Rattus norvegicus: one gene and its partner. The main gene of each other region encodes a partner of the protein of the gene in region 2 in a complex. Links are inferred from orthologs where the notes say so. Each region holds a gene or a part of one and is shown on either strand. Other genes may lie near its edges. The genes, in order: Csf1 and Csf1r.

Evidence for each region.
Region 1: the proteins of Csf1r (region 2) and Csf1 are in contact, whole or in part, in a crystal structure (PDB 3EJJ), measured with the Mus musculus proteins. The link is inferred for Rattus norvegicus from reciprocal best matches to the Homo sapiens genes CSF1R and CSF1. Residues at the interface, in NP_001032948.2 of Mus musculus: Arg142, Arg146, Leu149, Arg150, Lys151, Lys168, Val169, Leu170, Ser172, Asn173, Val231, Gly232, Phe233, Leu248, Ser250, Asp251, Phe252, Asp254, Asn255, Tyr257, Lys259; in NP_001107002.1 of Mus musculus: His38, His41, Met42, Gly44, Asn45, Gly46, His47, Phe87, Gln90, Asp91, Asp94, Arg98, Asp101, Glu110, Arg111, Gln113, Glu114, Leu115, Asn117.

What each region holds. Positions count from the first base shown.
Region 1 is NC_086020.1:198,066,591-198,082,076, reverse strand, and holds part of Csf1 (macrophage colony-stimulating factor 1), read left to right. Parts: intron 1-1,009; coding exon 1,010-1,129; intron 1,130-2,267; coding exon 2,268-2,330; intron 2,331-3,869; coding exon 3,870-4,040; intron 4,041-4,185; coding exon 4,186-4,266; intron 4,267-7,264; coding exon 7,265-7,412; intron 7,413-8,557; coding exon 8,558-9,671; intron 9,672-10,586; coding exon 10,587-10,639; intron 10,640-10,958; coding exon 10,959-11,017; intron 11,018-11,940; coding exon of another isoform or gene 11,941-11,985; exon of another isoform or gene 11,986-12,183; intron 12,184-14,593; coding exon 14,594-14,884; 3' UTR 14,885-15,486. UniProt on the Homo sapiens protein: Cytokine that plays an essential role in the regulation of survival, proliferation and differentiation of hematopoietic precursor cells, especially mononuclear phagocytes, such as macrophages and monocytes.
Region 2 is NC_086036.1:56,827,700-56,843,841, reverse strand, and holds the start of Csf1r (macrophage colony-stimulating factor 1 receptor precursor), read right to left. Parts: upstream 9,464-16,142; coding exon 9,415-9,463; intron 9,331-9,414; coding exon 9,300-9,330; intron 9,202-9,299; coding exon 9,162-9,201; intron 7,244-9,161; coding exon 7,183-7,243; intron 5,690-7,182; coding exon 5,432-5,689; intron 5,126-5,431; coding exon 4,841-5,125; intron 3,173-4,840; coding exon 3,036-3,172; intron 2,436-3,035; coding exon 2,276-2,435; intron 1-2,275. UniProt on the Homo sapiens protein: Tyrosine-protein kinase that acts as a cell-surface receptor for CSF1 and IL34 and plays an essential role in the regulation of survival, proliferation and differentiation of hematopoietic precursor cells, especially mononuclear phagocytes, such as macrophages and monocytes.

The DNA of each region.
Region 1 (15,486 bases), on a different chromosome or scaffold from region 2:
GGGGGATATCAGCAGCCAGAATGCTCAGAATGGCAGCCTCAGGCCAGGGGAAGAAAGCCCAAGAGCCCCTCTGCCTCAGGCTGGCCATCTCCTGGGATTCCCTATTAGAGCCCATAGGGATGGAAGCATCTTAGGGTAGAGGAGGAAGGAAGGACCTGGTAAGGTGTCAGGAGCCAGACCTGTTACCCTGGGGACGAGCAGCTACTGAGCCAGATGGGTGTTGATGAAAGGGAGAGAACTTCCTTGCTGTGGCAAGAGCCTGCTGACTAGAGGAAGGGCCTGATGCGTCTCAGATAGGCAGATGCCAGCAGGGAGACACAGCATTGTCTTTGATTAGTCAGATGGACTCTTCTTGAACTGCAAGTTTAAGTCTCTAGGAGGTCTGCCACTCGCGTTGAGTTCCCAGTGCTTGGTCCCCTGTAGAACCTAACCTGTGGAACCAGGTGGGAAAGAAGGTAGGCACCAATGGTAATGAATGGTTCTGGCTTGCAATCTGAAAGCCAGCTTACAAGGTCTCGATTTGTCTCAGTGTTAAAGTTGAAAGACAGAAAACCTTACCCTTGAGTCTCTCAGTCACCAACACTTATATTGGTTGGTGCACCATTAGTATTATCATTAGACATCCTCTGTAAGCTGGAAAGATGGCTCATGATCTAAAGACACTTGTTCTTGCAGTGGATCCAGGTTCAAATCCCAGAACAACCATTCATACCTCTAGGTCCAGGGGATTCGAAGAGGCAAGCACATAGAGTGTGTACATGCAAGCAAGCAAAACATTCATAAACACAAAACAAAAATAAATAAGTCGTTTGAATTTTTTTAAGTTCTCTGTATTGTTGGGCTAACCTGGGTTAACCTAAGAAGAGTTAATCTTGGAGAAGATGGCATTTGGGTTATTATCAAGGGGAGAGTGAGCTGGTGCACTGGCTGATAAGAATCTAACTGGGGAGTGCTGCATTCTGGGAAGGGAGAGGAAGTGCTGGAAAGCCATGCCTTTCTCCTGTTACAGACATGGATGGGCTCCCGGCTGCTGCTGGTCTGTCTCCTCGTGAGCAGGAGTGTTGCCGAGGTGTCGGAGCACTGTAGCCACATGATTGGGAATGGACACCTACAGATTTTGCAGCAGTTGGTGAGTATGAGACCTCGCCTTCTCCTCATTAAGGAAACGGAGACAGCAGCCAGATGGCAGAGTCCAAGAGAGGGCTTAGAGAAAATAGTTAACTGGATAATGGCTATCCTGGTGTCTCATTGATCTTCTTGAGGTGAACACCTTAGCTCCTCCCAACCCTTTCATCTAGGTCTACTATAGTGAGTAGGATAGGCTTCTAACTGTTGCCTGAGTTAATGGTAGCCCAGGAATGTCCACTATGGATTCTAAAAGGCTCCTTGACCCTGCTCTGACTCAGACAATGCCTCCTTTGGGAAGTCAGCCTGGTCTGCCTGCTGGGTCCAGATGGTTTGTCCTGCTCCTAGATAGCTGGATCCCCTGACAGCCTGGCACCAGGGCCCCACCCAAATTTATATGGGAGGCTCTAACCTAACTCCCTGCCTTCTGCTTTTACTTCCCTGGCTCTTGCCCCTGAGGTTGGGGTATCCTGCTCATCTGGGCTGGGAAGGAACCCAGATCCCATTCTAATAGGCTTAAAGAATCATCAACAAGTCTAAAGGGTCATCTAGCCAGGCAGGATCCAGTTGTTGTCATGGCTTCTGCTCCTCTCACTAAAGAATGTATTGTCTTTCCACGAGCTTGGCAGGGTGGGGCAGCAGTGGGTAAGGTCATCTGCAGAGCCCTGAACTTGGGCCCTGGGGCTGAACCTCCCAATCTCCCTTCTTAACAGCACTCTCTGCGTGCAGCTTCCCTGGTCCATGGTGCCATCATGGTCTCTGAGGGTTAGAACATTGCTTCAGGGAGAGGCTGGGGCTAGAGACCCAGACTCCCCAGAACTTGGCCGGCCTCTCTTTGAGGCTTTTCACCATAGAGTGCTTACCACCTCCAGAAAAGATTACTTCCTATATTTTCCTAGAGATGCTTCTTCCTTATACAAACGAGACTGCGTGATTTCATAGGTCATAGAAGTGTCTGTCTGTTTTTAAGTCCTCTGAGCTTTTGGAAGATACAGCTTTTCCCCTAGCTGTAGCTCTGTCATTTTGGCATTGTTTTAGGGAGGTAAAGTTAAAATGTCATTCACCCCAAAACCTGGGTCCCCATCCTGAAGCTGAGCTGATCTATAGGTACCATGTAACTGCTGGCCTGTTCTATCTCACAGATCGACAGCCAAATGGAGACTGCATGCCTGATCGAATATAAATTTGTAGACCAGGAACAGCTGGTGAGTAGCAAGTGTTTGTAAGGCCCCGGGTGCTTAACTTTATATTCAGAGCCCATCCTGTGGTGGCATGGAACTGCATGAAAGCAGCAGAAAACCTAGAGCAGACAGGATGGGGATATGGGAATCCCTGGGTGCTTCAAGTGTCAAGTTCCAACTTTCAGGGCTGGGCAGAGTCCAGAGCTTAAGTCCTTTGCTGTTTTCATACTTTGACCTGGAAGAAATCAGGCACTTGCTAAATGCTAGGCACATTCCCCAATTAATCCTAACAGTACCATTCTGAGGTCCACGGATATTGCTTGTTACCCATGCAGAGATTCAGGAGCATACTTAGTGATAGAGGCCTAATTTGAACCCAGGAATGTTATACCATGTGCTTTATTTTTTTAGATCACATCTCCTCCAATCCATTAGCCAGAGAAAGGAAGACAGTCTAGCCTGGCTTTCTACCTCACACCTAACCTTAGGGTGCTGTCCCTTTATACTCCCCAGTCCCGAGGAAATTTTCAGGGGCTTCCTGACTTCCCTGATTCTAGGGCACTCTTCATCTTACCACTAGGGGGAGCCCTCTGAAACCCCAAAGCCTTCACTTATTTCTCCTTACCTGTCAGGAAGCCCATGGCTCTAGGAGAAAGCAGACAATCTAGTTCCAAGTCCACAGTACCCACCACACCCTATGTTCATTCATCTCTCTCCTTTGCTTTGTTCTGCTCCCCAGCTTTTCCATCAGCTCTTTGCGATGTCTTCCCATCACTTCCCATGTGCCCCATCGATCCCTGTGCCACACCTCCTATCTTCCAGCCTCAAGAGAACAATCAGGCTATCCAGAATCCCTTCCGTCTCTGAGCTCTCAGCACTAGACCATCTCTTCTTTGACCATGCCATGGTCTGCATAGTCTCAGGGCTCCATCCATCCATTCTCCTGCTCCTTCACCTATTCACTGGATCAGGCACTAGAGATGCAGAGATAAAAGTAGCTTCTGTCTTTAACCATTTTCGGTATCCTTGGAGACAAAATCCAAGGCTACGCTTTTGATAATAAGATAGTCCTCAGTATCTTTATATTTTGGAGGATTTAAAGGGGCCATATGGAAAAACAAAACAAAAACCAAAAAAACAAAACAAACAAACAAAAAAACTTTTGTGGAAGTAAGTTGAAAGGAGAGAGAGACAGACAGACAGAGAGAGAGAGAGACAGAGAGAGAGAGAGCGCACTAAGGGGCAGCAAGGCTGAATGAAACCCACCCTCCCCTGTGTGTCTCCTGACTAAAGCTGCATTTCAGAAATCCAACGCTCTCTCTAATCAGAATCTACTTTTCTGTCATGCTAGCCCAATTCTCAGTTATGGTTGATTTAAAGAAAGGTAATAAAAGACAGGCCTAGGGTATCATCATCCTCATCGCCAGGGTGGTATGTCCCTTCCTCAAGAGTACAGGAGGCAGGCTACAGCTCTCTATCTGCCTCGGGTGTGGTTGGTCGTCTGTCTCATATAAAGCCTGGCCACCATGGCCAGGGACTAAGCTCCTGGTTCCTGTATTCCAGGACGATCCCGTTTGCTACCTAAAGAAGGCCTTTGTTTTGGTACAAGTCATAATCGAGGAAACCATGCGCTTTAAAGACAACACCCCCAACGCCAACGCCACCGAGAGGCTACAGGAACTCTCTATGAAACTGAACAGCTGCTTTATCAAGGACTATAAGGAACAGAACGAGGTAGGGTGACTGGGGCAGGAGCACCAGGGAAGGGGCAGAGGGAGGCTGCAGAGGTCCCACCCTGCCTCATATGCTTGCCTTGCCTGAACCTCACTAACCTACTCCCTCGCCCATTCACTTCTTTACTCCATCCACCTTCATCAAGCATTCATTAGACAGAAGGCACAGTGTGGACCCTGAGGATATCCTTGGAACAAGAAATTCCCCTTCCCACCCTTACAGTGAGGTAGGCAGCTGTTAAATGATGACACCTGTAAATATAATCAAAAGGGTTCTTCCTCCATTCAGCAAAACCTTATTGAGTGGCCACTGTATATCAAGTGCTGTTCTGGACACCAGGAATGAGCTGTGATTTAAAAAAAAAAAAGTAAAAATCCCCACACTCATAAGAGAGCCAGCGAAAATGAGCAAGTGTGTGGACGGCTGATGGTGATAATAGCATTGGAGAAGAGTAGAGCAGGCGAGGGGAGCCCTGAGTAGTAGTGGGAGGAACAGGAACCTGAGACTGAGAGTGCAGTGAGGACCCTAACAGAATGAGGATGCAGATGGGAAGAGAAGGCAGCAAGAAGACTTTAACTGGTGCTCCAGCACGAGGAAGAGCAGTAGGAGCCACACACAGAGAAACATTCTGGAGTGAGGAGCACTACACTCAAGCCCTAGGGTAACCAGAGAGGTTCGCATTCAGAAGCCCAAAGGGCATGGGTCAGGCATGGGATGTTGACAGGAGGGAGCAAAGTCAGGAAGCACACCACTAATTCATGGTGTTGAAGAGGTGAGCTTTTTGTCTTAAATTTGAAAGAAGCCACCATAAACTAGAGTGACACGATGATATGATGGAAGGCCATCTGGTGGTGGACTGGTCAGTGGGAGGTTCAGCCAAGCTGAAGATGGTGGTGACTTGAATCAGAGCAGAGCAGGGAAAATGAAGGTGAGTGAGCGGGATCCCTCCAGACAGATAGGGTGTGATGCTTCCTGGGAAAAAGGGAAAGGGTGAGGCAGATGTTTTCATCTGGAGTCCCTGGAGCTCTCACTGATGTCAAAAGAAGGATGACCACAGGCAGAGTAGGTTTGAAGGAAGAGCTCAGTTTGGTGTGAGGCAAATCAGACAGCTGTAGTTGCTGCTTGTGACTGTGAATGATGGACACACAGACACTGTGTGTGGAACCACAGAACTGCACAGCCCAGTCCACCCTTCTCACCCTGGTAAGAGGAGAACGGGATCCAGGATCCTGAATGAAACACAAGCCTGAGGTAGGAGGAAAGCCTAGAGAGGGCAGCACCTCAGGGCTTCCAGATAGGAGGAGCCAGAAGCTTTATCAAAGGAGGCTGAGAAGTCAAGTAAGATAAGGGGTGACAGTGTCTGTTGGTCCATCTGATTTGGAAGCATGGAGATTGCTGTTGGAGGCAGATGGGGAGAAGAGAGAGGAAACAGAGACCACAAAGTAGAAACACTCTGCTCCCAAAGGGGACAGGAAACCAGATTTTCTGGAGTGGCTATATGGTTGAGGAAAGGATGGTTCTATACTGTGCAGCTATTCACCTAAAGAGCTTATTTGAAAATGCAGAGGCCCAGCATATACCGTTACAGACTCGACTTTCCTGGGCCCATCAGTGAGCCTGGGAATCTGCGTTTTGAGATGATGCCGCATCAATGGTTGAGATAGAAGCTCCTCAGTCTTCCCTGGGTCAATGACTATTCACTCAGTGCATGCTGAGTGGTGACTTGGGGGCAAGAAAGAGTGTAAGCCCAAGGAGCCAAGGCCAGCCACACTGCTCCGAAAAGGATTATGAGCTCCTAAACCAGCAGGCGCCTCCATGCTGAGAAAGCTTGGGTGTCAGGGTTCTAGGTGAGGATGCCAGGTTTCTTTTACAGCATATAAGGCCAGGGACATATGTAGGACAGAGGCAGCTGGCCTGCCTTAAGAGTTCCTGGGAGAGGCTGGTGTGCTGTTGTTCTAACATCACAAACAAGGGGATGAATCCGCATAAAGCCAGTCATCTGTCTGTTCTCACCTAGCTGCTGAGTGATGAAGCCAAGCCCAGGTCATTTCATTCATTCATTTGTCTAGTAACTGTTATAAGCATGCTATGGGAGGGCCAGAGAGATGCAGTGATGTAATCAAGGGAGCTGTAGTAGCCTTGGAAAACCTATTGGCCTTCCCAGAATAGCTCAACTTTAAGGGAGAGAGTTGGCATTCTGGAAATAGGCTGTAGGTGAGACTGTAACCACACACAGAACAGCTTGCTGTGAGAGGTGAGGTGGACCCAGAGCAGAACCCCGAGGCACTGCAGTATGTAGAAGGAACTCTGGCACAGAGCCTGAAGGAGCAGCTGGTGAGGAGGGAAGCACCCAGGAGGGCATGACTTCTCAGAGCTGCAGAGGGTGTGTGAGCACTTGGGCCAGTGCAGAAGAGAAATGCCATTCAGCAGGCAGGGCAGGGCATCCTCGGCACTTCCTCTAAAATGGGGCACCAGCAAGGACCTCATCTCTTCTGGTCTACCCAGGTCTGCTCTCTACACCACACCAAGATGATTTTCCTGAAAGATAAGTCTTATACCACGGACCACCTCCCCAGCAGGTTTTCAGTTTCCTGTTGGCTCTGTGGCTTACAAGTTCCTGGCAGAGCCAACGAGTTCTTGGTCTTGGCAGGGCTCTTTCCAGCTGTGTCTCTTGCCACTTTCTTCCTACATTGCAGAGCTGCAGCCTCTCCAGCCTTCTTTCAGTCTTTTGGCGTCTCATGCTTTCCTGTCCCAGGGTCCTTGCATCTTCTATCACCTCTACCCCCACTTCCTTCTCTTACCCTACTCAGCTTTTAGCTGATCCTTTTGGAGATCTTCTCCCTGGGCCCTCTTTTAGCACCTATTGGTTATACGCCTTCACATGGCTCAGGACACTCTCTTGGGAGCCACTGTGACTTGTAACAATGGGTTTAGTGCTAGTGTCTGCTGGACTTAGTGCCCAGCTTGGCTAGGAACCACGTCTCTTTTGTTCACTGCATAATGCCCAGGTAAATATATGGCAATATACCTGGCACTTACATATGTGTTAGATGGATGTCTGGAGAAATGACATCTCTCAACCTCAAGACTGATACTGCTGCAAAGCAGAGGAGATGTAAGGGAGGAAACAAAGGGGGAAAAGAGAAAACCTAAGAGAATTGGATAGAGATAACAGAGGAGGCCCATGTTCATGCTTACCAGAGGGGGCTTCACTCTTCTCCCAGGCCTGTGTCCAAACTTACAAAGAGAGTCCTCTCCGGTTGCTGGAGAAAATCAAGAATTTCTTTAACGAAACAAAGAATTTCCTTGAAAAGGACTGGAATATTTTTAGCAAGAACTGCAATGACAGCTTTGCTAAATGCTCTAGCAGAGGTAAGCACAGAAGGGGCCAGCTACAGGGAGGGTGTGTGCAAGGTGGGATATGGGATTGGGGGAATCCCAGAAGCAGCCTGGGTGCTAACTGTGTTTCTGTGTGTTTTGTGTACTCGTGTGGCTTCATGTACCTTAAGGTCCTGTGCACATGTCTTTGCTGACATGTGTGTGCATGCACACTGACTTATGCCTGCATGTACTGTTTCACTGCCAAACTTCATGTGGCAGCACCAAGAAGGCCCCTGCTGGTGGCCGTGATGGTAGTGAATGGGTAATGGGACCTTCCTCGGAAAGCCATAGGCATGGTGGCCTCCCCCCGGGCTCTGCAGGCTGGCTGAATAAATGGGGGTTCCGTGGAAAGAGCAGGAGCTCCACCTGGCAATCAGGGTCCTTGCTCCAGGAGCTTGGCTGCAAAACACTAGGATAACCTGGCTCCGGAAGTCCCCAGGATGCCTTGGATGTCCCCTCAAGGGACAAGGCTGGATTTGAAGTCTGAACATCATTCAAACTCTCTCTACCTGTGCACTCTGCGTGTACTCATCTCTGCATCCTGTGCCACGTGTGTCCTACGTTCAGCCTTACTCCCTAAGGCAGGGGCTGAGGTCCTGCAACCGGACAATAGCCAAGTCCAGCCTTAGTGCTTCAATTCTGAAATTCCAAACTTGGCTGCTTCCCAGCTCCCGGCCTTGTCCTGTCTGTGACAGCAGCTATGGTGGTTCCTCTCCTGGCTGTGCATGAAACCCGTGTCTTGGATGCCTTCAGTGTCTTGTATTAATCCAGGAGCTATTGCTCAGGCCCCTGGCCTGGGTGCTGCTAACCCCTGGCTTGGCCTCCGGCCAGCTAGAACCCTAGTACACTGTCCTGTGATCTTCCTCACCCCAAGTCCTGCTCTGTTTGTCTGTACCTTGCTTTTGGTCCCTAGTCCATGATACCCTGCATATTGATCCCTCATGCCTGAGTTCTGTGTCATGATCGTTTATTACTGTCCTGCCCTCTCCCCAGCCCCAGGGCTGTTAGAAGAGGGACCCCTTCCTATGCCCCAGAGCCTTATCCCCCTCTTAGCCCCTCTGGGGGAGCTGTGCTAGAGGCTGGTGACTCTATCTCCTCCCCATCTTTCTCTCTCCCCCTCTCTGTGGTTCTTTCAGATGTGGTGACCAAGCCTGATTGCAACTGCCTGTACCCTAAAGCCACCCCTAGCAGCGACCTGGCCTCTGCCTCCCCTCACCAGCCCCCTGCCCCCTCCATGGCCCCTCTGGCTGACTTGGCTTGGGATGATTCTCAGAGGACAGAGGGAAGCTCCCTCTTGCCCAGTGATCTGCCTCTTCGCATAGAGGACCCAGGCAGTGCTAAGCAGCGACCGCCCAGGAGTACCTGCCAGACCCTCGAGTCAACAGAGCAACCAAATCACGAGGACCCACAACCTCATCCTTCTGCGGGGGCCCCCATCCCTGGGGTGGAAGACATTATTGAATCTTCAATGGGCACTAACTGGGTCTTAGAAGAAGCTTCTGGAGAGGCTAGTGAGGGATTTTTGACCCAGGAAAGGAAGTTTTCCCCCTCCAATCCTGTAGGGGGCAGCATCCAGGCAGAGACTGACAGACCCTGGGCCCGCTCAGCATCTTCTCCATTCCCTAAATTAACAGAGGATCAACAGCCAACGAATATAACAGACACCCCGTTGACAGAGGTGAACCCTATGAGACCCACTGGCCAGACACTGAATAATACTCCTGAGAAGACGGATGGTTCATCTACACTGCGCGAAGACCAGCAGGAGCCACGCTCTCCCCATTTTGCCACACTGAATCCCCAACGAGTCGGCAACTCAGCCACCCCCTATGCTAAGTTACTGCCTCCCAAAAGCCACTCTTGGGGCATTGTACTGCCCCTTGGGGAGCTCGAGGGCAAGAAAAGTACTAGAGATCGAAGGAGCCCCGCAGAGCTGAAAGGAGGACCAGCAAGTGAGGGGGCAGCCAGGCCTGTGGCCCAAAGTACTAGAGATCGAAGGAGCCCCGCAGAGCTGAAAGGAGGACCAGCAAGTGAGGGGGCAGCCAGGCCTGTGGCCCGTTTTAATTCCATTCCTTTGACCGACACAGGCTCTTCTATTCAGGATCCCCAGACCTCTGCGTTTGTCTTCTGGGTGCTAGGCATCATCCTAGTCTTGCTGGCTGTCGGGGGCCTCCTGTTCTACAGTTGGAAGCGGAGGGTAAGGAGAACTCCGGGAGAAGAGGACATCCTATGGGGCAAGACAAAGGCTGGGTAGGTTACAGGCTGGAGGGTAGCCAGGTTCCAATAGGTTCTGCAGTTGCTGGAAGGTGGGGATGACAGCCCAAAGGGTAGAAGGTAGTGATGGAGTGTGGCTTCAAGAATTAGGAGCTACCAGGCGTGGTAGTGTGCATGTAGCCCTAGCAATCCAGAGGCACAGGCAGGCCTCTTTGGCCAGCCTGATCTACTGGTTGACAAAGCAGGTTTTAGGCTAGCCAAAGCTATATAAAGAGATCCTGTCGGAGAAATTAATTAATTAATTAATTAGGTCCCCAGCCTCCTGGAAATCATTAAGAAAGGATGAGTTCTAGACTAGCCAGAGCTACATAGAGAGATTCTGTCTGATTAATTAATTAATTAATTAATTAAAGAGCTCTCCAGCCTCCTTGAGATCATTAAGAAGGAACGAGAACAGAATCATGTTAAAAAGAGAATTCTTGGCTGGGAACTCAGAAGGCAGAGGCAGGCAGATCTCTGTGAGTTTGAGGTCAGCCTGAGCTACAGAGTGAGTTCCAGGGCAACCAGGGTTGTTACACAGAAATGAGAGCGAGAGAAAGCGAGAGAGAGAGAGAGAGAGAGAGAGAGAGAGAGAGAGAGAGAGAGAGAGAGAGAGAGAGGATGAGGGAATGAGAGAATGAAAGAATGAAAGAATGAAAGAATGAGAAAATGAGAGAATTTTAATACCAAGTGGGAGAGGAGAGGAAGGGAGAGGAATGCTATTCTGGGAGCTTGAGGGCCCATAGGTGGTGATCTACACAGGAGGGGACAGAAGAAGGAGTGCCCATCCTCAGAGGTCCAGGAATCTTCCTCAGCTGTGCATGCTTTGGAGCAGTGGGAGGAATTCTTGCAACTCAGTAACACTTAGGGGCATGCCAGCACCTCAGTAAGATAAATCTTTCTTGTTCTCAGAGCCATCGAGACCCTCGGACATTGGATTCTTCTGTGGGGCGACCAGAGGGCAGGTGAGCAGTTGGAGTGGGGCTGTAGGAGTCACTGCTGTCTGTCTTGGGACCTGTTTCCCCTCTAGATTGAAAGAGAGGCTTCTCCCCCTTGCCCTAAGTAAACAGAGCTGCAGAACAGAGTGGGTACAAAGAAAGAAGAGCCTCTCTTCTTCCCATGACAGTGGAGCTTTCTCCTGATTTCTTCCTAGAATTGAGCAGTTTGGGGTTTTCTAAATCTCATCCATATGGAACCCATATGCAAGTTGGGGATAAGCTAGTAGGTCCCCTCAGTTCCATGCTCCTGCTGAAGTCTTATGTCAACCCTGTGTTCCGCCTGCAGCTCCCTGGCCCAGGATGAGGACAGACAGGTGGAACTGCCAGTGTAGAAAGGATTCTAAGGTAAGGCTCTGACTTTGATATCTCTCTATCCCTTAAAAAAAACTAGGTACCCACCCCTGTTGTAGAAACCACCTGACTCCCAGGCGGTCCACACACTCTTGACTTCCTCTCCTCCACCCTACTCCCAAGTCCACTCATTCATCATCAAGTCTAGCTAGGCCCCTCTCTTCCAGGCCTCAGGTCTCCCCTTGTTCCTGAATCCCCTCCCCAGCTGAGACCAGTTACTGTGACCTCTTCATTATGTTTCTATTCTTGCTGTTGCTACATCTGATCCCAAAGCAACCACATTCCTCCTCCTCTAATGAGGCTTTTACAAGGTCTTTACCACCATGCAGAATTTTCACTAGCCTCTGCATGGCTGCCAGCCCCCTTCAATTACAAGCAATCCCAGCTTGGTACTGAGCCCTGACCTCCTCAGCATCCTCTTCTTACCAAACTGTGCCTTATCTGTTCCTGCTCCCAAGCCAAGGTTACTGCTGCCTCCCTGATTTAGGATCATGATGCCATAGAAATTTAGTCTTGGGAGAGCTGTCAAGAGGTCATTTGGCCCAGTGTCCCAGCTAAAAGGGCTACTCTGCACCCCCACAGGGAGTCAGCCAGCTTCCTGAACACACACACACACACACACACACACACACACACACACACACACACACACACACACACAGAGAGTTTCAGGCAAGTGCTCTGCATGCCAGTCTGCTCAACTACACACAACACTGGGGTCACAGCACACAACACTGGGGGAATTCCTTCCTTATGTGGGCAAAGCTGCCTTCCTTTCTCCCCTTTCCCGACCAGTCCTCTCTCATCTTCTCCTGAGGCCTGATATTTAAAGTCAGTTATTCATGTCCCCTTTAAAAATTCTCTGTGTTAAGTGTGACCAAGCCCCTCAAACATTCCTTATATGATATGGTTTTCAGACCCCTCACCATCCTGGACACACTCGTTTGTCAATGTCCCTCTGAAAATGTGGCGCCCAGCCCTGGACACAGTACTCCAGATGTTGTCTGACCAGCTCAGAGTACAGTGGGACGGTTGTCTTCCTTGATCTGGACAGTGCTCTTCTACTCATGCAGATTTAAGATCACATTAGTTTTAACAGCTGCATCATATATTGTCATATGTTGAGCTTGTAGTCTATTAAAAACCCCAGTTCTATTTCCCACGAGCCTCTGTCCAGCAGACCTTCGCCATCCCATACTCCCACACTTGGACACCTAACTGTTTTAGCCAAAGTGTAGTTGGAGCTCACCTTTGTTAAAACTCCTTGTTGTTTTTCTGTCCATGCCCTGAGCCTACGGAAAGTGTATTAGCTCCTACTTTGGTCACTTTATAACTCCTCGTTGGGTCCCCTGCACACTGATGCATGTCTTTTGTTGTCCTTGTCCACAGTGTTGATGGAGATGTGACCTGTATTCTTCCTCTCTATCTCCACCCACACCAGCCTGTCAGGAAGCTTTTCCTTCCTGAAGTATATCCCACATCCCTCTGGTTGTCCTTTTAATTCATACCCTTCTGCTCCTTTGTATATGGCTCATGCTATATCAATCCATACACATTTGGATGTTGTTTTATGTATTTTAAATCATATTTTATATGTATATGTAAATTTTGCCCTTCTAAGAAGATTGTAAGTCCCTAGAGGGCAGGAACTATCTTCCATTTTTTTCTGCACTTCATTTTCGATCCAGGATTTTAGTACAGACAGTGCCACCTCCATCCTCGTCAAAAATTTAGTAAATGTTGGTAGCTGGTTTCAGGTCTGAATCACCAATTAACCCTGGCCAGAATTCTCTAACTGATCAGCCTTCTGGGTGATTAACCAGCCAACTGATGAACTCATCTTGCCAGCTAGTTAGCTGACTGACTATTCAACTAACTAGCTGGTAACTACTTAACTGACTAATTTTTGATTGATGAGCTGATTGGCTAACCAGCTAGCAGAGTGCTTAGTTGATTTGCTAACTGACTGGATGGCAAAGTAGCTGTGTGATCTGTTGAAGTTTCCAGTTATACCCCTTGCCACATGTAAGCAAACTGTCCCGTGTGTAGGATGATGTGTCTCAGCTCTTCCCCAGACAGAGGAAATCTCACAGATGTTCAGAACCAGGGAGATTTATTTGGATTAAAGCAAGCAGCAACCCATATCTAGACTCTTGCAGACCCACTTGGCTGTAGTGTGGGTGGAGATGGGTGAGATGAATGAGCTGGCTCACTGGAGCAACTGCAAAGGATCCAGAGCCTCTCCAAACTGAATCAGGGAGTAAAGGTTGCCGCGGACTTTGGGGCTCAGTGCTGTGTTTCTGCCACCTGTATGACCTGGTTTCTCTGTACCCAGTTGTCCTTTACACACATCCTAACTCTCAGACCTGCCCAAGACTTCAAGTTTCTCACCTAAGGATTTCAAGATTTTACTCAGTTGGTTCAGATCTAAATTGGTCCCCATTCCAGGTTCAAGGAGTCTATGGGAACTGACTGACCAGTACTCTGACAAGAAGATGAGTGGGACACACAGAAGTGGGGACTAAGGGAAGGACACTAGGTTGCAGAAAACTCGGGTCCATGGTCCCAGGAAGCAGGAGTTGGGTCAGAGGCCAGAGCATGCCCTCTGCGGCCTTCTTCCCCAGTGGACCCTGCCAAAGCCTGTGGCCTGGCTATACCACAAGGCTCATGTCCAGTTTATAGTTCCTGCTTGTTTCCTATCCAAAGCCTGGGAATAGGCTGGGGGCCAAAGGCTGTAGGTCTCATCTTCCTTCCTTACCCATCACAGGCTTGACCAGTAGGGCTATGGACATTACTAGGGAGGCGCCACCCAGGGTCCAAAGTCAAACTGTTGGCTAGAGTCCAGGGGATTTCTGCTATGGAACAAAGAGTTCTGAGGATGCTGGGCAAGGGGACAAAGATGGGGGTGGGGTGGAGAGAGGGCAGGGCCCTGGCTTCCATGGATGACAAGAGGCAAGTCCTTCATCCCATCTGGGAGGAGGCTAGGCTACTCAGGGTGAGCATGCCTGTTGATAGGGCAAGCCCTCCCTTTTCCTGGCACTGTCTCTACCCTCTGCCCATCAAGCCCAATTTCTTTCTACTTGATTGCTTTTGAGCAAGTGTCTTCTGTGCAGACCCTCTCTAAGGCATGGTATGGAGGCATGAAAAATTCTTTGCTAGAGTTGGCAGAGATCCCCTTAGATCATTGGTCTAAGACTACTAAGATGGCCTTACCTGAGGAGTGGCCTAGTAGGGACATTCAAGAGCTTGTTCCCTGCTTCCATCTGCTTGAGCAATAAGCCTAGACCTCCTCCAGTCCTAGGCCCTCATTTTGTGGTCACTACTCTCCCAGGAGGAGAGGTAGGAGGTGAGGCCAGTCTGTCCAAAGGCTTGGACTGCTGCCAGGCAAAGCTGCCTGGTGTCTCTGTGGTGTCTGGGGTCACCTAGAGGGCCAAGGAAATGACCAGAGGAAGTCTTGCCTGAAGCCAGCCAACAACCCACAGGAATGCCACACCTCCCCCAACTATGTCCTCAGCGACCCTCCCCATACTCCCTCTGCTGACCAGCCTTCTTCCCTTCTTTTCCCTACAGCTGGGCACACAGGACTATCTCTTTATGGGAGGAGACATTATGGCAACGTCCACCACTACCCTCTCCTGTCATCTTCCTGGGAATGTGGTCTGCCACTACCAGAGCTCCTGCCTACCAAGACTGGATGAAAGCAGCTTTGATGGGGATCTTTCCATCCTAACCCTTAGACTCTCAACTAAAGAGAGAGGGCTGGAGGATGCCCCCAGTATCCTGCCACTATTTATTGTGGGCCCTGGAGGCTCGCTGCATTTGAGGAAGGGCAGCTCAACAGCTCAGGACCCTTTCCCTTAGGGGCTGTTCCCTCCTCTCAAAACCAGAACCTGGCAAGGGCCACACTAGCCTGTATGGCCCATGGGAGATCAGGACAGATGAGAAGGAGCAGAAGAGCCCTGTGCCCAGAAGACCCAACTGGTGCCAAGGAATCCCAACGTGGACAGGCAGGGGCCTGTTTCCCAAGAAGAGAGCCTGACATTCAAAGGGTGGGACAGCATCTGCCCAACTTCCCGTAAAGGCATAAAGGCACGAAGCCCAAAAAACGGGAAGAGGAGGCCTTTGGCTGCTTGTGATGACAGCTTAAAGGGGTCTACACCCTCAACTTGCCTAAGTGCCCTCTGCTGATAGCCAGGAAGGAGGGAGACCAGCCCTCCGGACCTATCTGACCTGGCTCATGATGCCAAGAGGAAGACTGAGCTCTAACCTCATCTCCTCCTGCCCATAGCCCCTGCCAGAGTTCTTTTGCCAGCAGAGGCACCCCTCATGAAGGAAGCCATTGCACTGTGAATACTGAACCTGCCTGCTGAACAGCCTGTCCAATCCATCCCTATGAGCGATCATCCGTCCGAATGTTCTCCCACTTCCTTCAACCTCTCCTCAGCTTCTTGCACTGAGCTGGC
Region 2 (16,142 bases):
GGAGAAACTCTAGGTCTTTACATGGGATCTCAGAGCTGTTGGACACTACCTGTCCCGCGCGACCTCGCCAGCAAGAATACGCGGGAATACACGAATCCTTCTGTAGCCAAAATGCTTATTATTTATTAATAATAGAGGGCGGCGGGGCGCCAGCATGGCGCGGCTTATATACACCCTAGCGAGGCGCATCCACACCTGATTGGTCACTTACCCATGATCTCATTAGGCACGCCCCGGAGTGGGCAAAGACCTGACACGAAGGCACTCTTGCACATGCGCACACAGTTAACTTCCTGAAAGGAAGTCGGCTGGTGTGGCGGAGGCCAGCGCCATCTTGTGTTTTGTTTTGTTTTGTTTTTTTCTTTTCTTTTTTTTTTCGGAGCTGGGGACCGAACCCAGGGCCTTGCGCTTGCTAGGCAAGCGCTCTACCACTGAGCTAAATCCCCAACCCCCAGCGCCATCTTGTAATGGTGAAACTATCTCGGCCTTCCACGTGGGGCGCAGTGGAAGCCAGCGCCATCTTGTGGTGGCGAATGTTATTGCGACCCTCTACAACTACCTGCCCAATTTACCTCTCTGACCTCATGTGGCACCTCTCATCATGCCAACACAACCCCATTGGTATGAATCTGGCACGTAGAGCCATCTTTTTTAAATATTTTATTTTATTTTATTAATGTGAGTATACTGTCACTCTCTTCAGACACACCAGAAGAGGACATTCAATTCCATTACAGATGGTTATGAGCCACCACATGGTTGCTGGGAATTGAACTCAGGTCCTCTGGAAGAACAGTCAGTGCTCTTAACCACTGAGCTATCTCTCCAGCCCTCTAGAGCTATCTTCATGGCACAACAGTTGCTCCATGAACTAGAGCTCTCTTGCCCAAGTGTCTGAGCTTGCCCTCCATCAACTTCAAGCCTGAACACACATCTGGGCAAAAGTTGAATGAGCACACACATTTATGGCATTGACTCCTGAATGCCTGCACTAGGAAGCATGTTGGCTGGTGGTGTAATAGGAGGACAACCTTTCGTGAGTTCTGGCTCTCTTCCCTTTACCTTGCAGCGTTTGGAGGAGCTCCGTGTGTGTGTGTGTGTGTGTGTGTGTGTGTGTGTGTGTGTGTGTGTGTGTGTGTACGCGCTCCAAGGCCACTAAGTCATGCTTCCTTCATCTCCTCCCTCTGACTCTCAGTCAGACATGGGTCTGTTAGCAGGCCACACTGCTAGAGCATACGCTGAGCCCCTTCTCCCCATGTAGAACTGCTGTGTAGTTGGCTTCTCAGCCTAGAATACCTCTGCTTCCAACTCAATAGCCAGGCAATAGGACATCTTAAGCCCATCATTCTTCATCGTTGTGGTTGGCACCCTCCCCACTTTCTATGTCTTAGTCTACATCCACCATTGTGGCTGCTCCCAGCATCCCATCTCTCCTTCATCCAGCACCAGGGTGAGCCTTCTGATACAGTATTTGCTTGCACACTCTAGGACCTCGCCAGAGCTTCTTCTAGGTTTTCTAAATGCTCTTGTTTACTATTAATATTCTCATTTTTTTCAGGTAAAGGAATTGAGACACAAAGAGGTTGTTCCATATAATGTTTGGCAGAGCCATGTTTGATGGTGTGCAGAAGTGTGTGCTCCTGACTGCCAAGTCCCTTCTGTGCAAGCCGAGCCCTGTGGAGACCTCAGCCCTGACCTCTCAACAGGGCGGAGTGCAAATTTTCCACCCACTCTGCTAAGGCTCCATCACCACCAGGCTCCTGCCTCAGCTTCACTCCCGCATCACCATTGCACCCACTCTCTATTTGCCAGGTGGGTTCTTAGCTGCTTTGGTGTCTCAAAGATGCTTGGGCTCTCTTCCCTTGAGGCTTGCACGCAGTGTATCTCTTCTAGATGCTCTGTTCCCTTCCTTTCTCACTGAGGCCCAGCAGCTCCCTGATCATCCACCTTGGCCCAGCTTAGAGGCCCCAGTTAGAGGGACCACTGATGTTTAAGGATACAATCATGGCAGAGAGGCACTGTCTGCTGGTGTGTTCATATGATACCCTAATGCTCAGAAATGAGTGACCCACATGAGCTGCAGTAGGGAGCAGCTGGGCACCGATCCCAGCCCAGAACAGAATACATTAAAGTAAACCATGACCCATGCTCTGCTGGAGGAAGTTGAGGGTCTAGGAAGTCTCCTAAGACGAGGCTCCAGGATTAAGCCGCCCTCTTTCCATCATCACCTTCATCTCCCGACAGTCACAGGCCTCCCCCATTGCCTGATGCTCACCCACCACCTGGAAGTTCATGGTGGCCGTGTTCGAGCCAGCTGCGTTGTTGGCCACACAGGAATATATGCCAGCATCTTGGAAGTCCACAGCATTGAGGTTAAGAGTCAGGACCTTTTTATAAGCGTTGTCTTGGAAGTCACTGTTTATGGGGATTTCCAACTGTAGACAGAAAGAAATGAGATGTTTTCGACAACCCAAAATTGTTTAGGATCTGAATTCAAATCCTCCACCTCTAAAACCATGCTCTGCCTGTGCATGGCAAGGGACTGAACTCTGAGTCTCAATTGCTTCATCTATAAAATGGGAGGAATCTCAGGCCCCTGCCCCTCTGTTAAAGTGAGAGTGGGTAGACTCACAAAGCAAGGGCTCAGGGCTGGAGCTGACACACGACTTACATGGGGGTGAGGAATCTAAGAGGTAACCTCTCCATTCCTTCCGAGGGACTCCTCATCTTCCCTCTCACTCAGTCTTTCCGAAATAACCACCATGCCTCCATACTTCTAAGGGAGCCTAGGAATTCCTCATTCTGTCTGCAGGGAGCTTTCCACAAGCTTCTGCAAAGGAACAAGCTAATCCCAGAAAGGGTTAGATTGCCACCCCTAGCAGCTGGAGCCAGCTGCTGTTGGCACGGGGTCTCAGACCCCTATTCCCTAGGCCACAGCCATGTCCCCAGCCCAGAAAGGTAGTTTGAGGTGAAGATTCCTTTGCTGAGAGGATGGGCAGATTTCACCTGGCCATCTCCTACCCCCAGGGACTGACCTTGGTGTCTCCACGTTTGAGGATAACGTTGAATTCAACTTCTGAGTGAGTGGCCGAGCACACGATCTGGGCAGCCTCCCCTCGAATCCTCACCAGCTTAGTAGGTTCCAATATGATGTGTGGGGGCCCTGGGTGGGCTGAGGCCAGAAACACAACCCATGAACCCCTAGATTCTCTGCTCAAGCTTCCATCATTCTCCCAATCCAAACCCTGGAGGGTGGCCCTGATACCTCAGTGTTCCCAACAAGCAAGTCCCCAGGAAGAGTCCGCTTTCTGTGTTACCCACTAACGCTGCTTCCCAGAACTGTTCTCAGCTTCCTGCCTCTCATTTCATCCCCCTCCTGGCAGCCAAAGTCAGGTCCCTTTCTTGGGCCCCTCACCTGTGTAAACATTCACCCTCAGAATAAAGCCAGTTCCTGACTGGACATGGTAGCACACACCTTTACATTTAGCACTTAGTAGGCACATGTAGGAGTTCTAGCCCAGTCAGAGCTAAATAGTGAGACCCTGTCTCAAAAATAAGGGGCCATGGGATGCTTGCTGTATACTCCACTGCAGCTAGAGGTCCATCACAGGGTAGCATCTGCCTTCTTTCCTATAGTCCTTTGCTTTCTATGCCTTGGAATGGTATCTACTCTTGTCCTGTCAATTTGGTGGTAGTGGTGGTGGTGGTGGTGGTGGTGGTGGTGGTGGTGGTGGTGGTGATGGTGGTGGTAGTGGTGTTGATGGTGGTGGTGGTGGTGATGGTGGTGGTAGTGGTGTTGATGGTGGTGGTGGTGGTTATGGTGGTGGAGTTGGTTGTACGGTGTTTAGTATGCAGGGCTGTGTATTAAACCCAAGGTAACTGTTCTTCTACTGAGCTACATCCCCAGCGTGTGTGTGTGTGTGTGTGTGTGTGTGTGTGTGTGTGTGTGTGTGTAACATAATTCTTATATGGAGATTCAAAGACTACCTTGGAGAGTCATCATGTAAGTCTCAAACTCAGGGATCAAACTCAGGTCTTCAGTCTTGGCAGCAAGGATCTTTACCATCTCACTGGTTCTTTAACAATCTTTTAAATTCCACTTACATATGTGTGTGTTTGTGTGAGTGCACACACATGTGTGCCTGCATGTGGCCACAGTGCCCATGTGGAGGTCAGAGGACAACTCCCTATAATAGAGGTTCTCTCCTCTACTACGAGAGTTCCAGGGATCCCACTTGGTCACTAGCCTTGGTGGCAAGTGGCTTAACATAACAAGCTAGCCCCTGGCGTTTTTTTGTTACTGGCTGTCATTATATAGCTCAGGCTGTTCAATGCTGGGAATACAGATCTCCTCCACTACGCTCAGTTCCAACTGGTGGCCGTTAGCCCCAAAGTTCTTCAGAGAGCTCGTGGGTAGAAGAATTACCCTCCCCACTACACCTCACCCTGGCCTTTCCTGGTTGCTTCTCCTACACAGCCTGATCAACCTTCTATTCTGCCTTTCTAGTATAATGTCTACTGTAAGTAGATGCTGCTTAGCGCCATGCCTGACACACAGAAGTCACAGAGCAAGCCTAAAAATTAAGCCTAGTATCCTGATGGGTGAAGACAGCCTGGACCAAGACACATGGAGGTCTACCTACAGGGAGGATTCATTTCCCAAATGCTCTTTAGCCAATTGCCCTGGTTAGCTCACCACAGCTGCCCTCGTGGTCAGATTCCCACCCAACACACCTCCCCCCACTTGCCCTGGAGAGAAACGAGCAGTTGAAAAAAGAGAGAGAGCCGTTTCTGTCCTCCCTCTACCCATGCCTGGCTGGGTTTTTCTCATCCTACTTACCTCGATTCACCTTAAGCCGGATGCCAATGGAGGTGGATTCCCTAGCGTTCACAACAGCCTTGCACATGTAGGTATGACTGTCAAGGAATTTAGCCTTGTGGATAATGAACCCTCGCCATGGTAAGAAGGAGTAGACCGTTTTGCGTGAGACTGGTCTGCCCCACTCCCTCACCAGTGAGACACTGTCCTTCAGTGTGGGGTCAGTGATCAGACAGGGCAGCACAGCTTCCTGGCCCTCAAACACTGTCACCTCCTGTGCTAGCAAATTCCAGGGCCGGACAGGATCTGGGAAGAGGAGGGGTCAAGGTGACAACTGAACATTAGTGACGGGAGGATCAAAAGCCTGGGCATTTGCCCCAAGTCACACTGTACTGGACCGTTCAGAGAACGGTTGGCCTCTGGAATCAGGTGCTTCTAAGGCACTTGTTGCTACGTGATCATGGGTAAAAGATTCAAGCCCACCAAGGCTCTGGAGAATGGAGGTAATCATAGAATTTACCTCACGAGCATTAGCACTGCTGTAGGTGCTTAGTCATGACCAATGCCAGTGGCTAGCCCTTCTGCCCAATATGGCGAGTTTAGAGTTCTCACCTTTGACGTACAAGTGGATGGCGGTACTGCCCCGCATAGGGTCTTCAAGCTCAGTACAACGGTAGGTCCCAGTGTTTTTGAAGGTGGCGTTTTTTGTGATCAGGATGCTTCCAGGAGATTCAGAGTCCAAGGTCCAGTAGGGAGAGATGGGGCCATCCCATTCCACACTGCCATTGCTCACACATCGCAGGGTCACTGTTGCACCTGGCTCTACAACCAGCTCTGGGCCACTAGGCTCGATGACAGGGGCCCCTTGACCTGGAGGAGGTGGCAGACACAAGTGAGGCCTGGGATGCACCCCAGGTGTTCCCCAACACTGGGCCATGCTTTGGAAGGGATAGTTCTGGTATGGAAATGAATCTGTATTCATAACTCTATTGACATCTGCCATGCCCAGGGGGCTCATCTCTGAGACTGGCCTGGGCACCTCCTTAGCCTCACATGTAGGCATCTCCACAAAACTATGGCAGCCCAGCTCTCTGTATCATTTCCCACCCCAGGAGAGGGCTCCATCATTCTCATGTACAAAGCGGGCTGTGACTGCATGCAAGCAATCACATGTAAGCAAGACAAGTTTCAAATAAGCAACTAGAGAAACAGATGGCCAAGCCCTGACTTTTCATTCGGGAAAGAAGAAAAGACACCTGAGTTCTTAGCTCAGAAGAAAGAAAGAGCTTCCAAGCGTCTCCTGCTGTCCCATTCCTTTCATTGGAGCATCAGGTCCCTGCACTGTGGGGTGGCCTGAGGCCATCTGTCCATCAGAGCCCTTGGTCTTTTCACCCACAAGTGCAGACAATGAGCCCATTTCCCCACCATGCTAAGCTGTTCTGGTGCCAGGAAACCTTTTGCCTCATCACCTGTTCCAGTAAAGTCTCACAGGGGGCTTGGATGCCACACTTATGAATGAGACTCCTGAGGTGCCCAGTCTGCCCTCGCTTCTCTGGGCCTGTTGGATTTCTTGGCAGCTAATCTCTTTTAAGGAAAATTTGCTTGAAGGAGAAAGGAGAACTCAAAACCCTTGTCAGGTCTTCGGGAAGGAGGCTCGTTGCCTGTGTAGTGTCAGCATTTTTTCCCAGGCTTGAAATAGGGGTAAAGGGGGGAAGTGAGAACTGATTCACAGCCTCTGAGGGCCTGGCAGGCACCCCTGGCCTGTGTGGGCGGAAACACATTGCTGGCACCCGGCTGGCCCTGGTTTCCGCCCAACCCATGGCCCTTCTACACTGGGGTTCTCACTTCTGCTTCCCTGGCCTCCTGGCCATTGTCCTTCTCACACAGTGAAGGACTCTTGGAGAGGGGGGACAATGTACTGGGTCTCAGAACACACTGTGCACAGCCTGTCTGTGCCACTGTCTTGTTTGCTGACCCCACAAGTCAACCCCTCCTACACAGTGACATGGCAGCCCCAAGGGCGTCAAGTCCTTAGCGTATTCCAGTGTTTCCTATCACCACTCTCAATGGGTACTACACACACACACACACACACACACACACACACACACACACACACACACACACAGGCTCCAGCCCAGAAATGGAAAGTCTCCTCTCCTAAATGACTTCAGCCTGGTTTAATGTCTGCTCTAATTCAAACCTACTAGAATCGTGGATCCACATGCCCAAGCTTCCAACCAGCTGGATGTAGAACAGAGGAGAATAGCGCCACTGCTGTGGCTCTCCTGGCAGTGATCAGGAGGAAGAGGCACAAGCTATTTCACCCTGGACTCACATTGACTATAGCTAGGGACTCTGACAGTCATTGACCCTCTGGACATCAGTGCTCCTCTGACCCATGAGAACAATCTCAGTGGTCACCTCGAGGGCAGCAGAGCATGAAAGTCCTCTTGCCCTGGCCTACTGTCCTCATACCACATTGCTAATGTCTCTCTTGTGCCTGCTACATGGGACCTTAACCCTTTACGTCACAGCATAGGACTTTGGGTTCTATGACTCGGCTCCTGCCTTACCTCCCAGACACTGTTCCTTTCCCCAAGGCTACTCTGCTCTGCTTATCTTTGTCTCCTGTCGTGGCCTCCAGGAAATGTGCTCTGGGAGAGGCTTCTGTCTTACTTCTCCCCAGCCTGTTGCCCTGGATATTTACACAGAACAGGGCTGAAACATTCCACGTAAGCCACACGGTGTTCTCACTTCCCACTGGCATGGTTGACGGGAGGGAAGCCCCACTCATCACTACCTTCTCTTGGATGAGCACCTGATGGCCACTGAGCCCCTGTTCCTGTCCATTCTCATCTCACATCTTCTCTTTCAAATTCTCCCCATGACCCAAACCCTCTCCTCTTTGTACTTGCAAAATGGACCGTCAGCTCCAGGAACTCCCCAACCTCCTGCACTCATGACTGACCACCACTCAAAGAGAAGAGACCAGTCTCTCTCTCAGTCTCTCTCTCTCTCTCTCTCTCTCTCTCTCTCTCTCTCTCCCTCCCTCCCTCCCTCCCTCCCTCCCTCTCCATCACCTCCCCTCTGTGTGTGTGTGTGTGTGTGTGTGTGTGTGTGTGTGTGTGTGTGACTCTAAGTGATACAACACCATTCCAGCTCCCACAAAAGCCCCCATGGTCCCACCCACTCATCAATAATCAGCCAGGTTAAAACCTTAGGCTTCCCACTGTTATCTCCCACCTTTTCTTCCTTTGGAGCTGGACACTGGACAGACAGATGCATGCACACACACAAACACGCACACACACGCACGCAAGCATGTATGCACTCAAACTCAATGCCCCACAAGCAGCCCTCAAGATAAAGACTGAATAAGCAGTGAATCAAAATCACAGGATTTTCTGGGACGTGAGGAATAACTGTTTCTTCCTTAGCTGAGTCAGGGCTGCATTAACATGCACATCTGTCACACGTCCTTCAGTGGTATTCTTAAGAATGCGTGCTTTCTAATGCATACCAATCCCATTCTACTAGGAATGTGTCAGTGCACAAGCCACTGAGTTCAGCTGAGCTAGCAAAAAGCCTTCAGTGGACTGTCATCTCACCAGAGGGCTAGAAGTACCAATTCCCCCAGGGACCAGAGTGAGACTATCCTTCCCCACCAAGTCCCATCTTCCCTCAAGGCCTTTTCAAATAAGCAGTGGGTTGGTATAGAGTGTGTGTGTGTGTGTGTGTGTGTGTGTGTGTGTGTGTGTGTGTGTGTTAGGCCAGATGGAGCCTAGATGTGATTCTTGGGCCATTCTGGGCCATTCATGTTAGTTCTCACCTCAGTCAGACCCTCTCCAAGATGGCAGTTTTAAGCAGCTTCCCCTGCCTGAGAAGTTGGGGGAGATACCTAGGAAGCCAGTGTCTGGGGAGACTCTCTCTGGCCTTTCCCCGGCCCTGCTCTAGCATTCTTATTTGCTTAATCACAGGATTTCTCGTTCACCCATGTTCTCCTTCAATTCCTATCCAAACTTTTCACCCTGGAGCCCTGGGCTAGAGAGGCCTCTTCTTTCCTCTACCCTGACCCTTTCTTTCATCCAAGCCTTCTAAGAAAGGGCCTTTCTGAGCCAGGTCCTACTTAACCAGAGCCTGCTGGGCTGTCCAGCTGGTGGGACCACTCAAGGAAGAGCTGAAAAGTTTACTGAGTAGCCCGACTCACAAGATTTTCTCAGAAATGTAAATCTCAGTCCTACCAAGACCTGTTAGAATCCACCTTCAAGGAGACTCCCAGGTAATTTCCCGTGTGCACAGGAGACAACCAAAAGCATTGCTCTCAAGTTGGGCCCACTACCGCCCTCCTGCCTGCCAGAAGGTAGATGTGGATGGTGGTCCTGAAAATACCAGGGCCACACTCAGAGCACACTGTGAGTCAAAGGTCAAGCTGAGACAAACCCACAGCACCAGCCGGGCTGGGTCCACCCACACTCACCTACTCTTCTCCCCAGATAAAATCTGCACTCCTATGCCAGAGAGGTGGAAGCGGAGAATGGGACAGCGATGCCCTCTTTGTAACAGTCCCCGAGCATCCCTTTTTCTGCCCTTACCATGCCAAGCTGTGGCCAGCAGCAGGACCAGAGGAGCCCCCAGCTCCATAGCCTCCAGGGGTTAGCGTGGGACGATGCAGGTTGGAAAGTCGGCTGGGCACAGGGCTCCCAGCTGCTAACTCTGTAGGGATGGGAACAGAGGAACACGTTCTTGTCTGTTGTAGTGGCTCCTCTTCCCCTTTTTTAGGTTGGCTGAAAGGGAACTACAGAGTTTGGAAATATTGGGTCTCTAGAAGAAAACAAAGTGCACACACACACACACACACACACCAGAGGAAGAGGCAGAATCTGAGGCCAGGCTCAACTGACCCTGCAGGGAGGCGATCAAGTTTGAGAGACTTAGGAAGCCACCTATAAGGGAACTTAGGAGAAAATCATAGCAAAGAGCAGCAGCCCATGAGTCAGGAGCATAAATAGGAGTCTCCAAGATGAGCTGAGAGAGGTCAGGTTAATTGGCCCTAAATTCTTCTGACCTTTCTCATCTGCCTTCAAGGCAGAAGGCCTCAAGATAAGGGTAACTGGGGATTTGGGCTTTGACAGTATCAAATCTCCTACAGCAGCGACTGGAAATTTCCATGAATTGTCCAAAACCAAAGTCATTCTAGGTTCCAAACATAGCAAGTCCTGTAGACAGATCACCCTCTGATGAGATTATCCCCCTAGGTGAGGACGGTCAGTCATCTTATGAGAAGAAATGAGGTTACCCCTAAATAGGAGCCATGGGAACCAAACTGTTCCCTCAAGCCCCGAAAGCCAGGAAAGACTCCTCTGGAACCAACTGGTAGAATTCAACAGCACCCACCATGAGCAGGACTCTTGCTCCCTGCACCAAGTCCTCTTATATTTAAACCTGAACCCTTCCCCAGAGACAGGCCCTCGGATGCTTTGATTCCTTTCCCGCGTTTAGCCGTCACTTCTCCTGTTTGATTTCTAGGACAAGTGGTCAGATCCTGATTTGCAGAGATTTGTCCTGGCTACCTAGGAGTCTCGTAATGATATTATGTAGCGCGTGTTTGCTGAGACTCAATCCCCAAACACCTTTGTAATCTTCTAAGCTGTCCCTTTTATGAACCACTGAGTTGACTGACAGCTGACTTCAGGATGCAGTCTGGTTACCTGAAAGACTAGTGAAGACTAGAACTTTCTGGTTAAAGTAGAGGTCCCTAGAGGAGGGCGTGTCCCTTCATCCCCAGATCTTCATCTGGGGGTGTCATACCTTTGTCATGTCCTGTATAAAAAACCAGTAGGGGGATGGAGAGATGACTCAGTGGTTACAAGTACGTATTGCTCTTGCAGAGGACTTAGGTTCAAATCCCATCACCCACATGGTGGCTCACAACCAACCACAGCCCCAGGAGACCCTACAGGCATGCGTGTGGTGCACATACATGGTACATTTAAAAAAAGTTCACATGTAAAGTGAGATGCTCTAGTGAATCAATGAAACCGACGGAGGACTGTGGTCCCCTAATCAAGAAGTGGGGTGAAGTGGAGACCAGGTTCCCGACTTAGGTACGAGCTCTCTCCAAGCAGATGGTGTGAGCATCCGACAGAATTAGAAGGCACTCAGCTGGTGTGTGCTGCAGGACGGATAGTTTGTTTGAGGTGAGGCATAATCCGCCCCTACCACACATATTTGCTTAGAGATTCTTCTGTGTTGAGAGAGAAAACAGGAGACTACGGCCTGTGGATTTCTATATCCTCAGTGGTAAGTTCTGTTTTCACTCTCATTTGCATATGGAGAGCCCGGGGTAAGAGAGGTCAAATACCTTTGAGCTTGTTCATAGTCACACAGCTATCAAGGAGATAAGGATGTAGAACCATCTGTGGCTATTTTTAGCAAGAAATCTATTGCGGTAGACTTCTATTCTTAAAGATCATTCCCTTGCCCTCTTCTTTCTTTATGTGTGATATGTGTGTGCCCGTGTCCGTGTGTGCGCACCTAGGTGTGTGTATGTGTGCGCCAGTCCATGGGAGTGAGTATGCATGTGAGTGAGGCCAGAGATCAATGCTGATGTCTGCCTCATTGCCTCTTCACATAGTGGCTAGACTAGCTGACCAGAAAGCCTCAGAAATCCTCCTATCTTGGCCTTTCCAACACTAAGATCACAGCTATGTGTCACCAGGCATGGCTTTTACTGGGTTGCTAAGGATCTGAACTCAGAGCCTCATGCTTGCATAGCAAGCACTTTACTGACTACGCCACCTCCCTGGCACATCCCTCACTTTTTAAAGACAATCGATGTCCTGTGTTTTAGTTGATTCTTTTTTCTTTTTTCTTTTTTCTTTTTTTTTTTTTACAATTTCATTCAGAAGATGAAAAACTCAGTGGAATACACAGTGCTGACAGAGTATCCCCAGGGGTGCAGAAAAGAAATCCCTGACAAAATCCAACATGCATTTAAGGTTTTAAAAAGTTCAACTAAGGTGGAGTGAAAAGGAAACACAGAGTGATTCAGAGCTCGCATGTGAAGGCACAGTTCATTCTGTGGCCAGACAGAAAGCGCTTCCTCTTTATCATGGCTGCCGCCGCCGCCTCCTCCTCCTCCTCTTCCTCCTCCTCCTCTTCCCCCCTGCTCCTCCTCCTCCTCTCCCCTCCTCCTCCTCCTCTTCCCTTCTCCTCCTTCCTCCTTCTCTTCCTCTTCTTCCTCCTTCTCTTCCTCTTCCCTCCTCCTCCTCTTCCTCCTCCTCTCCTTCCTCCTCCTTCCTCTCTTCATATTGTGTGAGAAATCTTAGCCAGAGTAACAAGGAAGGAAAAGAGAGAAGAATTCTTAATGAAAATGAAAAAGTAAAATAATCTCAATTTGTAGAAAACATGATATATATATGCTAAATAAACTACAAAAAATTAAATAAAATGAATGAATTAAATAAAGCTACAGAATACAAGCTCATCACTCAAAAACTAAGTTGTATGCCTATATTCTAGCAATGATCAAAAAAGGAAAATAAAACAGTTTTAATTTTTAGTACTTATTTTTAGTTATATACGCGTGCGTAGACCTATGTAAGGGACTGCAGCTGTCCACAGAGGCTGAGAGGCATTGGGTCTCCTGGAGCTGGAGTTTCAGGTGCCTCTGAGCAACCCAACATGGGTGCCAGGAACTGGGTTCAGGTCTTTTGCAAAGCCAGTCTTCTCTCTTTACCACGGAGCCATCTATCTCTCCAACCCACCTTATAATTTTGATTATATAATGAATATATAATCAAAATTTAATCTCAAGTAAGGCTGGTAATATGGCTCATTGGACAAAGGGGCTTGCTGCCAAGCCCAATGACCTACGTTTGAATAACGTTTTCATCTTCTGAGTGACCTGAATGGAGAGAACTGACTCTTGCAAGTTGTTCTTTAACTTCCACACGTGCAGGCACCAACACACACATAAACAAACAAATAAGTAAATAAGTGTAACTACCCGGGTGGTGGTGACACACAATCTGAAATCCCAGCACTTGGGAGGCAGAGGCCTACACAGTGGGTTTTAGGACAGCCAAGGCTACCCGGAGAAATGCTGTCTTGAAAAAACTAAATAAATATAACTAATCTTTTTTTCAATTGGGAATAAATGTAACCAAGGAAGCGCAGGACTTACATGCTGACTCATGAAACACGCCAGAAGTTCAGAAGGCCTTGAGGAAAGGGTTTCATGAGAAGACAATCATGATTTCAAGATGGCAGACTGTGTATCAGTACAATTCCAACCCAAAGCCCAGCAGTCATTTTTTTTTCTCCTGAAATAGAAAGGCTGACCGAAATTCATGTAGACTTTGAAGGGGCATTAAATGATTAAACCATTTTGAAAAAAAAGGACGAGGTTGGAAGAGTCACATGTCTCAATTTCAAAGGTTCTTACAAACCTATTGGAATCCAAACAGCATGGCGCAGGCTTGAGAGTAGACACAGAAAAAAAAAAAAAAAAAAAAGAAAAAGAAAAGGGTTGGGGTTGGGGATTTAGCTCAGTGGTAGAGCGCTTGCCTAGCAAGCGCAAGGCCCTGGGTTCGGTCCCCAGCTCCCAAAAAAAAGAAGAAAAGAAAAAGAAAAAAAGAGAGTAGACACAGACCAATGGAACGAAACCAGAATTCGAAACACAAACCCTCACAAGAGGGGCAAGACCATTTGACGTGGAAACAATGCTTCTTTCAACAAATCTATGAAGCAAACTGAAGCCCAAAGAACAAATATGGAGACCCTTATTTCACACCATATGCAAAAATTAACCCAAGATAAACTGAATTGAAGGGAAAGGATAGAACTCTAGAATAAAGTGCAGGGGTAATATTCATCACCGGAGTGAGAAATGGTTTCTTAGCCCTAAAACTCAAAAACAGAGGCAATCAAAGAAAAATTAGATTAGCTGGACTTGGTCAAAACTGAACATTTTGGGGCATCAAAGGACAATGTGAAGAGAATAAAAAAGAATAAAGAAACATAGGAAACAGAAGGAAATACTTGCCAATCCCTGCTGGACAAGGCTGTGTGCAGAGTGCCTGCATGTGTGCGCGCATACACACACACACACACACACACACACACACACACACACATGCACACATGTGTATATGAATGAAAGCTGTAATCTATAACGCAGTAACAAAAGGACAAACAATTCAAATTTAAAATGGGCAAAAAAAATTAAACAGACATTTCTTCAGAAAATATATACAAATGGCCGGCCCTCAAGTGGAAAGATACTCAGTCATGTAAGTCACTAAGGAAGTATAGACCAAACCACAATGAGATGATGTGTCACATTTACTACATTGGTCATCTTTAAAAAAAAAAAAAAAGAAGCAGAAAGGAACAGCGTACAGTGATTCATGCCTTTAATCCTAGCACTAGGTAGGCAGAGGAAGGCAGGTCTTTGTGAGTTCCAGGCTGGCCAGGGTTACACAGTAAGACCTTGTTTCAAATGAAAAAGGAAAAAAAAAAACCAATATTGATGCAGATACAGGCAAACCGGGACTCCCACACATCGCTAGTGGAAACTTAAATATGGTGCGGCTTCTATGGAAATTAGTTAGTTCCTCAAAAAGTTAGCAACAGAAGCCGGTCATGGTGGTGCATGCCTTTAATCCCAGCACTCGGAAGGTAGAAGCAGGCAGATGTCTGAGTTTGAGGCTAGCCTGATCTACAGAGCAAGTTCCAGGATAACCAGAGCTACACAGAGAAACCTTGTTTCAAAAAAATAAAAAAGTTTTTAAAAAGTTAGCAACAGAATTACCATATGAACAAGTATGGTTGGTTTTAATGTCAACTGACCAAATGAACAAAAAAACAAACAAACAACCCCCCCCCAAAAAAAAAAAAAAAAAAACACAGAATAGGGAGCTGCACCTGAGGAACCTTCCCAATTGTCATAATCAACGTGCCCTGACTGTGGGTGGTGCTTTCTGGTACTGACTCAGATAAAAAGGCACGGCAGAAAGGTTTCTTGCCTTTGGCTCTCTTGCCCTTTCTCTCACTGTCAAGTTGACTATGCTGCTGCTGCTGCTCCTACTAACAATGATGGTGACGATGGTGACAACGATGATTTCTTCAATGTTATCAGAACCAGCTTGTCCAGGCTTTCATTATGAACTAAGGACCGGCAGCTCTCCAGGAACCTTCTGGACACCAGAGTGGGTCTGCTGAGGCACCAGATTGTCCACCTCCACGGTGAGAGGTGGTCACTACGGGCCTATTCCAACTGCTGAGATTTCCAGCCCCAAGGACTGAGCGCCCAGGCCTCTCAGCTCTCAGCGTGAGTCGGTTGTTGTTACTATTTTAGCATTAGCTTATTTAATAAACCGCATTGGTTCCTTTCCTCTAGAGATCCCTGAGTAACACACGCGGCAACTGTACCCTTAGGTGTAATCAAGAGGACTGAAAATAGGGGCTCAAACCCACACTTGCACATGGATGTTCAACTCAGCATGGCATCTAATCTCCAAAGGTGAAATCAGCTACGGAGTGGATAAACAGGACATGGTCCAACCGTGCACGGACTATCACTCAGATACAAAAGGAGCAAAGTACCGACAGTTTAAGGTGAACGATTTCCTGGCTGGCAAGATGCTCACCTGGTAAAGGCACTTACCACAAAACCTGACAACATGAGTTGGACCCCAGGACCCACACGATGGAAAGAGAACAGAGTTCTGGGAGTTGCCCTTTGATCTCTACACATGTGAATGTTCTCTCTCTCTCTCTCTCTCTCTCTCTCTCTCTCTCTCTCTCTCTCTCCCCACCTATCCTCACCCCCGGCATCCTCTCTCGACAAACACCTTAAAAGGTGATAAGTAAGCCTTGAAAAATACAGAGCCAAGTAAACGTAGCCCAGCACCCAAGCCAAACTTCCACACAACCCCATTTGCCTGAAACACTTAGAATAAGCAAGTCCGTAGAGACAGACAGACAACTAGCGGTTGCCAGGGCCTGGGGGGAGAAGTGGGAAGGGATTGCTTTATGGGCAGTGGCCACTGAGTTGGTGTGAGAGACCAAAAGGCCTTGGAACTATATGGAAGCGCCAAACCTAACCTGACCAGTTAGAAACAAAGCGAGTAAACCGTTCTTAGACAAACAAAAACGGACTGTGGCTACTGCCAAACAAACGAGCACAAAGTGTGTGTGTGTGTGTGTGTGTTCCTCAAGTAAACGGGGGATATGAACCAGAACCTTGGTCGTGTACCTTTAAAAGTAAATGAAAACAAAGATTGCTAAGAATGGAATAAAAGCTAAAACTGCAACT